2 linked regions of the Oryzias latipes genome follow. The protein of the gene in region 2 interacts with the protein of the main gene of each other region in a pairwise test. Links are inferred from orthologs where the notes say so. Each region holds a gene or a part of one and is shown on either strand. Other genes may lie near its edges.

Region 1 (4,274 bases), about 6.9 Mb from region 2:
CCCACTCACACTTCCAGCATGTTTGGATCCGTGAACTGCACAAAGAGATCCTTATCCTGAAGCACTCCTGAAGATTGAAGGGGAAATGTTAGCATTACGATGCACGAAAGATATCCCACAGGAAGTGGCTGGTCCAGCTCTCACCTAAAGCGACCGGGTCTGACCTGAGGCCGGGTGTGGCTACAATGATCTGATCCAGAGACTCCTTATTCGTCAGCATTTTATAGACCTGAGAGTTCAGAGCAAACACAGATTTTTAGAAGCCGAGTGCTCCCATTACTGCCATGGAGCTCCGCCAGCCTTTACTGTCAGAGTCTGATCCAGCTGAATAACCAAACGCCGGCCGGGATTTTGTTCAGCTACAGCTATAAAAAGCATTGGAGGTGATCTAATCACAGCCAGACTGCGGTGAAGACAGGTGTGCGGACAGCCAAATGGAAAGGAATGTAATCACCGGAGCCAAATTCCTTTGCAGAGTCAAAATATTAGTAAATGGAAGAATCCAACAGCAGCTGCTTTGGTTTGGATCCAAAACGTCCAGAATATTTGACTCCCGAACAACCAGCATTCAGAATCGGACTGCTTCTATTCATGAAGCATTTGAGTTCCTGTCCTCTGGTTCAAAGTCTAGATGCTTTTAGTGTCCAAACAAGAACAAAACAACTGATTTTACTGATTCCATTTTGATTCCAACTGAATCTTTTTACACCACGTAAATGCAGAACAGGCTGAGGTTTTGATGATTTTCAAAAAATTGTCTTCAGTGCTAAAGTTACCAGTTCAGCCAAAAACACCAAGCAAAAGATCCTGCTCACCACCAGATCCTAAAATACAAAACAAGTAAGATTGTTCAGATTCAGAAGCTTTTAGCTCTTTTATGTATAAGTTGACTTATCCTGTCTGGGGTCGCCACAGCGAATCAGCTTTCACCGTTTCAGACAGGTGCTTTGGCAGAGACATAACTGTTCATCCATATTTCTATTCAATATGTGCAACAAACGGCTTCAAATGTGCTCAAAAAAAGACAAATATGGGGAAAATATATACATGTATAATAATAAGTAAAAATAATAGTGATTTAAGACAAACAGTGGAAACCTTGGGGAGTAAAACGAAACCATTGAACGAGAAATGATCTCCAGGTGAGACATTAAATGAGAGTCCATCACTGCAAAACTCAAACAAACCTGTAAAAACATGCTGTAAAGATTTCTGGAATTCTACAAAACAGATTTTAGGTGATCTTTTTTTTTGGGATCAGTTTTTAATGGCAAGACCAAAAAAATGTTGTGGGTTCCAGCGCTCCGAGGGCTGCTGGGATTCCAGTCCTCCCTGATTCTGGCTCCGAAATCCAACTTCTGTTTGGTAGAATCTCATATAGTTTCATCATTTGAACAATTTTTTGCCCATTTTTTAAAAAAAAAAAGTAAACTGTTTTGCCATCTCTGCTTTGAAGCTCGGTTTCTCACACTTGTGTGTAAAAACTGAGCAGGAAGCGTTAGAATTGTACAGTTATGATTTTTCCATCCAATCCATAAGATTTATGGATGTTTCCAAAACATTTTCTACAATTATTAATATCATTCAGCGAATTCCAAAATATACCCAATAGTTTAAAATGACAAAAAGAGATTTTTTTTTATTTAAGTTCTTTTTAGAGCCTTGCTAATTTTAATATAGACTTTTAGTACATAAATAAATAAATAGATTAATAAATCTTTGTGGTACTTTTGTTATCAGAACATGTATTAGGAGCTTTGTAGGCTATGTAGTGAGTAGTGAAGGAATCGGGACACAGAGTGGGTCTTTGTTGGTTATGGACTCACTGCGTCTCTGTAGGCTGAATTGAGCGAATGCAGAGCGGCGTGGAACACCCGGAACTCTCTGGCTGCAGTCACTCTGTTCACCGGCTCTGCAAAAACACAAATCCGGAGCCGAGGTGTCGGTGATGGGGAGAGACTTTCAAGAGCTTCTGACCGCAGCAGCAGACACGGACCTGGACTGCTCTCCGGCTCTGGCCATGTCTTCTTCAGAATGTGTACTGTGGATCCCGGCTGGACCCCACAGGCGTCCAGTGTCAGCTCGTCCTTGAGCTTTCGCCCACAGTGGACCAGCTCTGGGAAAACAAGGAACAACAAGTTATACACACACACAACAACAACAACAACAACAACAACAACAACAACAACAACAACAACAACAACAACAGGCAGCCATTTCTGCTGCTAACAAACCTATGAGTTCAGGGTCTGGGACGGAGTCTGGCAGCTGCGCTGCTACAAGCTGCTTCAAGGTGGCGACTCTGTATCCTCCAGGTGGGACATCTCCGGGCATCATCTCGGGGAAGTGAAAGGTGGATTTGGGCTGGTCCGCCAGTTTCAGAGACAAGCGCCAGTCTGAGGACGCCATCATTGTCTGCGCAAACAAGAGCAGGGACATCTGTTTTGAATGCCCCGTTAGCTTAAAGCTAACCCGAAAATGTGTGCCTTTGCTTAAAGATGCATCTTTTTGTCAAGTGACTTTTAAAACAAGTTTACATGTTTAGAGAACATTTACAATACTAACAATTACCTAAACGGTTGTTTAAAAAATGAACAGAGGACAGCCGTGTAGTGACGTTTTTTCTTAATTAAACATTATTTTGCTTCTTGTGAACATTTCAAATAAAAGTTTCCGAACATTTTATTTATTTATGTATTTAAAAACTGAACAAGAAACAACCCTATGAATAAAAAGAAAGATGCAGACTCACCGCTCTGTTGACACTCGTTTCACTTCCGGGATTTGTAATCACGTGACTCGTGTTGCGTTCACGTCCACTCCACGAGCAAAGACCTTTTTTCTTGTCCCATCGCTTTCCTGTTCAACCTTTCCACATCTGTTGCACATTCGTAAATCCCCATGAACACTTTTCTGTCTAGTTTGCCACTTCCTCTAATTTTCTTTCACAGCTGTTTCTCAGCGGTACTTCATAAAAACGAGCCTACGAGGACATATGGGTTAGTAGTATGATCAACTAATTACGTGCCAAGTATATGTCCTTTGTGTACCTTTCCTTGAATATTTTTAAAATACTTTTTATGATGTTTTCATTGAACTGCTGCTTTATTACCAATTTAGTTTGTAATTCTGTCCTCATTGCACAAATTTTTCAAACACCATAAATGTGTCCTTCCATGTTTCCTTAATCCCATGAAGTTTCATAGATAGATAGATAGATAGATAGATAGATAGATAGATAGATAGATAGATAGATAGATAGATAGATAGATAGATAGATAGATAGATAGATAGATAGATAGATAGATAGATAGATAGAATTTATTCCAGACTCATGGTCCAATCAGTAAAAAGGAGTACACAGACCCACCACATTTAAAAAAAAAATACAGTGTCAAGAATACACAGCTGAGGTACAGTGTATAGTTACAGTTCATAAAAAAGTTAATAGAAAATACTTAATACAAACAAATTAATTAAAAAGGATAAGAATAAATACCAAGATAAAAAGATTACATATACATACTACACTGTAAAAACCTTAATTACAATGACAAGTAAAAAGACAGTCCCTCCAGTGTTTCCATAAATTTGACCGGAAACGTATTGCACTAAATCTAATGTTGCTTATAGCCAAGATGAGAGTGTTCTCTGAAGCGTTTAATCTGCAGATAAATTTGAACATAAGCGAGCGCATGCAAGCCCAGAGAGTGTTAATTCTGAGTGAAACGAAAAGCTCACTAGCACTTGTCCTCCAGTTCCATCATTGTATTTGTTTTTGAGTATAGAAGGGAGACATAGTGAGCTTGAATGAATAATGGAAGGTGTGAGTGAGAGACTGATGTTTTGCATTCATACATATTTTATGGGGAGAGCTCACAAAGCTCTCTGCTTCTTCTTCCTAATCCTTGTTGAACAAAATGGAGAGTGTGCACATTTATCGCTTTTCAACATGGTGGACCGTTGATTAAACTCTAACTCATATAGTTGTTTTGTTCAAAATAAAGTAAACACATTTACAAATCTAATGAACTTCACCCCATCATTCTGGCCCCAAAGAAAACTGGGGTACAATACATATTGAATGCAAATGCTAAAGCCTTATACTAGTCATTTTTGAGAAGACTTTACCATCTGTAAAATGATCCAAGCATTTCAGATTTACATTGGTTTAGTTAGCAGAAGACAATGGAACAGACACTGACCAATACCTAATAACCTTTTATGGGATTACATTTTGACTGTTGTCAAGGACTAAACATTTATTTATTATA
Region 2 (4,338 bases):
ATTTTAAGAAGTAAATGTAGCGTTGTTAATCTGGACAGAACTGGATCAGTATAAACAAATTCCACAAAAGCTAAGGATGAGCTTCAAGTGGGCTGTTAAACAAAAGGCATCTCTGAAGACTTTGCTCTCTTGTCAATTTCAGACTTCTGTTGAGGTCATACTTTTGTTTATGTGAATCTAAAACCTTTTTTTATTTGAAGGCCTCTCTTGCAGTTCTAATCACAGACTCAGCAGAAATGATCCTATCAGCCTGGCTGTCATGTTGCTGGAGCTAATAAATAATCATGACACTGCAGATTATTTTCACCTAAAAAAATTACTGACCCCATTCCTAAGAGAGCACACGACAGATTCTGCTGGGTGTTTTTATTTGTGTCCTGTCAAAAAGTGGCTCAACTTTTCATGAAACTGTGCTTTCAGATCTGTCCAAGAAGTGACTGATTTATTATTTTAAACTGCAGGATGAGCACTTCTAGAGATGAGAAATATGGTCAATCACATGACATGACATGTTTTAGGGACAGAATCAGGATGAAAAATATATTTTGGATTTTATTTTGTTTTCAATGAATTCGGGGAGATTGCAATCCAAGATAGACGCATGACCAACCCCCATGTCCCTGGGTGAAAAGAACAACCCTTTCAGATTGAATGCAAAACAGAGGAGTTGGCTAATGTGGGTGTGTCACAGGAGGGGACATTGGAGTTGTGTCCTAATGGCTAAAGTAACAAGATAATGTGGATTAATGGTGGCCATAATGCTTTGCAACTTTGTTAAGAGGAAATCTGCATTAAACAAAACTACATTTGGTCCCAGACATTTTATTTTGCTAGTCTTATATTAGCCAAGCAAATGCACAATATGTTCAGCAGATCTTTAGCCACTTCTTCCAGTCTACAAAATACTGCATTAGTGACAGGAGCAGTAAAACAATCGGGAAGCAGCCCCAAACAAAAGCTCAAATAAAACAGGACTTATCTGGGATCTTAATGATTCAATACTTGCCAAGTAGCATTTATTAAATTGGGATAACTTTGCATTTAAAAAGGTCAAATCCATTCATTTATATACAGATTTGATCCATCTAACAAAACAGTTCAGCATTAAAGGAGTTTCCCTTATTAACTCACTACTTAGTAATCTGTTGCTCATTAGAAAATTACCTCTGAGTTGTGGGTGGGACTATTGCCATGCTGTAATCTTTCCCTTACTTCCCATCATCTATTTACGTGCTCTCCCACTGGTTCCCTAGTACAGTACCTCACAGCACCAACGTAACATTAACGGTGAAACAAAAATGGCGAGCAATATCGGAGATATCCAGCTGTTTAGTTTTGCGCCAGATGCCAATCTATTTGGATCCATTAGTCTACAAGTAGATGCATCAGAATAAAGCTGAACAGGGGACTTATGTCACAGCTTCTTCCAAGTGCATTTTTTCTTCTGCTCTTGATTCACAACAATTTGAATAAAGAAATGCACAGAAATTCTATTTTTAGCTTAATTTTCTATGTATGCATATATGTACTCCATCATGAGAACAATGCCACGGGAACATGTTAAAAACACCAACAATTTTAACAGGAGAGGGCCTTTAACTCCATCTATTCAAAGCTGCTTAACATGCATAAACTTCCTTTGAACTTGAAAATACAAAATGGATTTTTTATACTTTGTGTTGGTGGTTACTAAGGCCTCAGACCTAAAGTAAAAAGGCAAGACACTCAATATTTTTCACTGACCATTTAATACGAAAGAGTTGAGAAAAACAAACCCCAAATGTTAATTAACAATTATTGTAAACCAATAATTAATTTATAGTATGATTGTAAGCCTATCCTCACCTACGCCAAGAGGCCCCTGAACTCCTGAAAGGTGTGTTGGTCCTGGTCAACAGAAACATTAACACTAAAGACAACCCAGCAGACACGTCGATACGCAGAACGTCACACTCGTAGCGCACTTCCTACTTATACCTCGACTTCCTTAACGTTAACCAGTCCTGAGCAACAAGTGCTATAATGGAAATTAATTAGATGTTTCATTACAGAAATCTACTAAGGAAGACGCTTCAATGACACCAACTGTTTTGTAAACATTATAAAAACAAATTCACGTCTTTAGTGAGCTATAGCTTCCTGGATGTCAAAAGCTAACTTGACTCGACATTTTAAAGTTTTTAAATATTTAAAAACCACATCTAAAGCTCCAGCAAACTGTCAAGTATCTTAACGACGAGGCACAACAACTGAGTAAAAAGTAGCTTTACAAAAAGTGCCCATTTTACTCGAAAGGGATCATGTTTGGACATCCTTAGCAACAACAGAGGCTTTACCGCTTACTCACGCTTTTTGATAAAATGCAAGAAGTTAATATTAACAACATGAACATACAAAATAATTAGAAAAGTGGTTTTGTTTAACCTCGAGCTACGACACCTGACTGAGTTCACCAAGTGAAGAGGACATGATGCGTTTAGGCCTTCGTGGAACATTTGGATTACAAACTAGCTAGCTAGCCCCCTGTACTACCGTCAGCTCGCTACCTGACAGTTCGCTGTTAACTAGTGTATAAGTTACAGGACAAGAGCTGTGGTCCAGTAGTGGAAATATTAACTACACAGTCATCGTTAGGTGCTGTCACAATAAATATTTCACAAAACACTTGGGAATTCTGCATAGCTAAGCCCGTAGATACCTAGCACTGCTCTACATGGTAGCTAACTTAGCTTACTGACAGGCACTGCCCCGGCGCACTGAGCGCTGCAACTTCCTATGCAGTGGCACTCTCTCTGAGATAACAACGCAGACACGAACACACGCGTAATGTTTTTTGTTTAAGAAAATTACATTTTATCACATTTCTGTCGATATGTTATTGTTTCAAAGTACTTACTAGCCGTAATGACGCCAGAAAAGGACTGGACTCGTCTCTATTAGCGATGGAGGGAGGAACACACTAGACATGCAAAATGGTGGCTACTCCAGCCTCAGTACATCTACCGCAGGCGGAGGGTTACACTCTCAGAGGATGGTAAAAGGCGTTCAGCTCAAGTTTGTCATCATCGCAGGAACGGCTGGAAGCAGAGAAGTCACCACTGTGACCGAGATTACACCTGATACAGCTCTGTTTACAGGACACCATGGGTAATAGTTCCGTTATGTCACTATTGGTCTTTTGTAATATTAAATCAATTATTCTATTTGATCAGTTTTCTACAATGCACGCTCGGTCTGTTCCCGTTATTATAAAGCGCTAGCAATAGAGCCTGTTGTTTTCTTTAACCATCTGGTTCTCGATTATCTTTTTGAAAAGGTTTCGAAACGTATTTATTTGAGATTGGATTCCTGGTTACACTGAGATGCGTTGTCTGACATTTTACATGAAACATGTGTTAAATGACAAGGCGAGGTTTCTTTTGTTGAGATAGAATATTATCCTTTAACCTTGCGGATGAGTACACTGTCCGTCTCGAAGGCGTGCTGCGGTCAGTTTACTCGTGGCATACAGTGATGACGACTGCATGCAATGTGAGAGTTCAGTGGTACCGTAAATTAAAGCGCCACCTAGCGGTGTCTCTTGTCCTCTTAAGAGGATCCTCTTGAGGTTTGATCTAAAACAATAATTTATTTTTTGATGAGATACCAATTTAGACTTGTTTTGTTTTTGTTCAATTGACCAAAACCATGCAAAGGTTTAATTATACTTAGTATATTTAGTTTATAAATAAAGATTAGGTTTGAAATTCAATGTAACAATTATTTAAAGAGAGAATTTGGATTAAATTGATATGCATTAAAATATCATTTAAAATGGAATTTGGCTCTCATAAATGCTTCATTTTATATTTTTGATGCTACATTTAAGTGTTGGTAAAAGTGATTTAAAGCAAAAACATTTTAATTACGGTATACATCTTTTTATTCAAGATGGTTGTACATGTATGCATGACTAACATGTCCTTGTTGTTAAGGTTATTTTTTGGGTCTCCCACAGGTGTCGGGAGTTGAACTTCAATAAGACGAATTACATATTTTGCAAAGCAACATATGAGGGATTAAAACTTAAACATCAATAAATAACACTTTGGACTAATTTGCCTTTATCCTGGATGGAAAAAATGATAGTATTTGTTTTATTAAAAGCAAATAACTAAACAAACAAAGTATGAGTTCAATAAATTTTCACGTTTTTTCTAACATACATATAGTACGCTAATTTAAAAAGAAATCAATAATTATTGAATTAAAAACTAGGGCTTTCTTTTTTGCCACACAAAATAAGATAAGAACCATAAAGTGTGTATGTAGTTATACGAAATGAAACATATATACGTA

The links.
Region 1: the proteins of ap1g1 (region 2) and ubl7 interact in binary tests that used the Homo sapiens proteins (3 or more experiments, as listed by UniProt). The two-hybrid records come from large-scale screens. The link is inferred for Oryzias latipes from reciprocal best matches to the Homo sapiens genes AP1G1 and UBL7.

What each region holds. Positions count from the first base shown.
Region 1 is NC_019861.2:28,018,897-28,023,170, reverse strand, and holds the start of ubl7 (ubiquitin-like protein 7), read right to left. Parts: upstream 2,843-4,274; 5' UTR 2,753-2,842; intron 2,416-2,752; 5' UTR 2,413-2,415; coding exon 2,235-2,412; intron 2,117-2,234; coding exon 1,997-2,116; intron 1,913-1,996; coding exon 1,827-1,912; intron 230-1,826; coding exon 145-229; intron 68-144; coding exon 10-67; intron 1-9.
Region 2 is NC_019861.2:21,119,576-21,123,913, forward strand, and holds the start of ap1g1 (AP-1 complex subunit gamma-1), read right to left. Parts: upstream 2,999-4,338; 5' UTR 2,897-2,998; intron 1-2,896. UniProt on the Homo sapiens protein: Subunit of clathrin-associated adaptor protein complex 1 that plays a role in protein sorting in the late-Golgi/trans-Golgi network (TGN) and/or endosomes.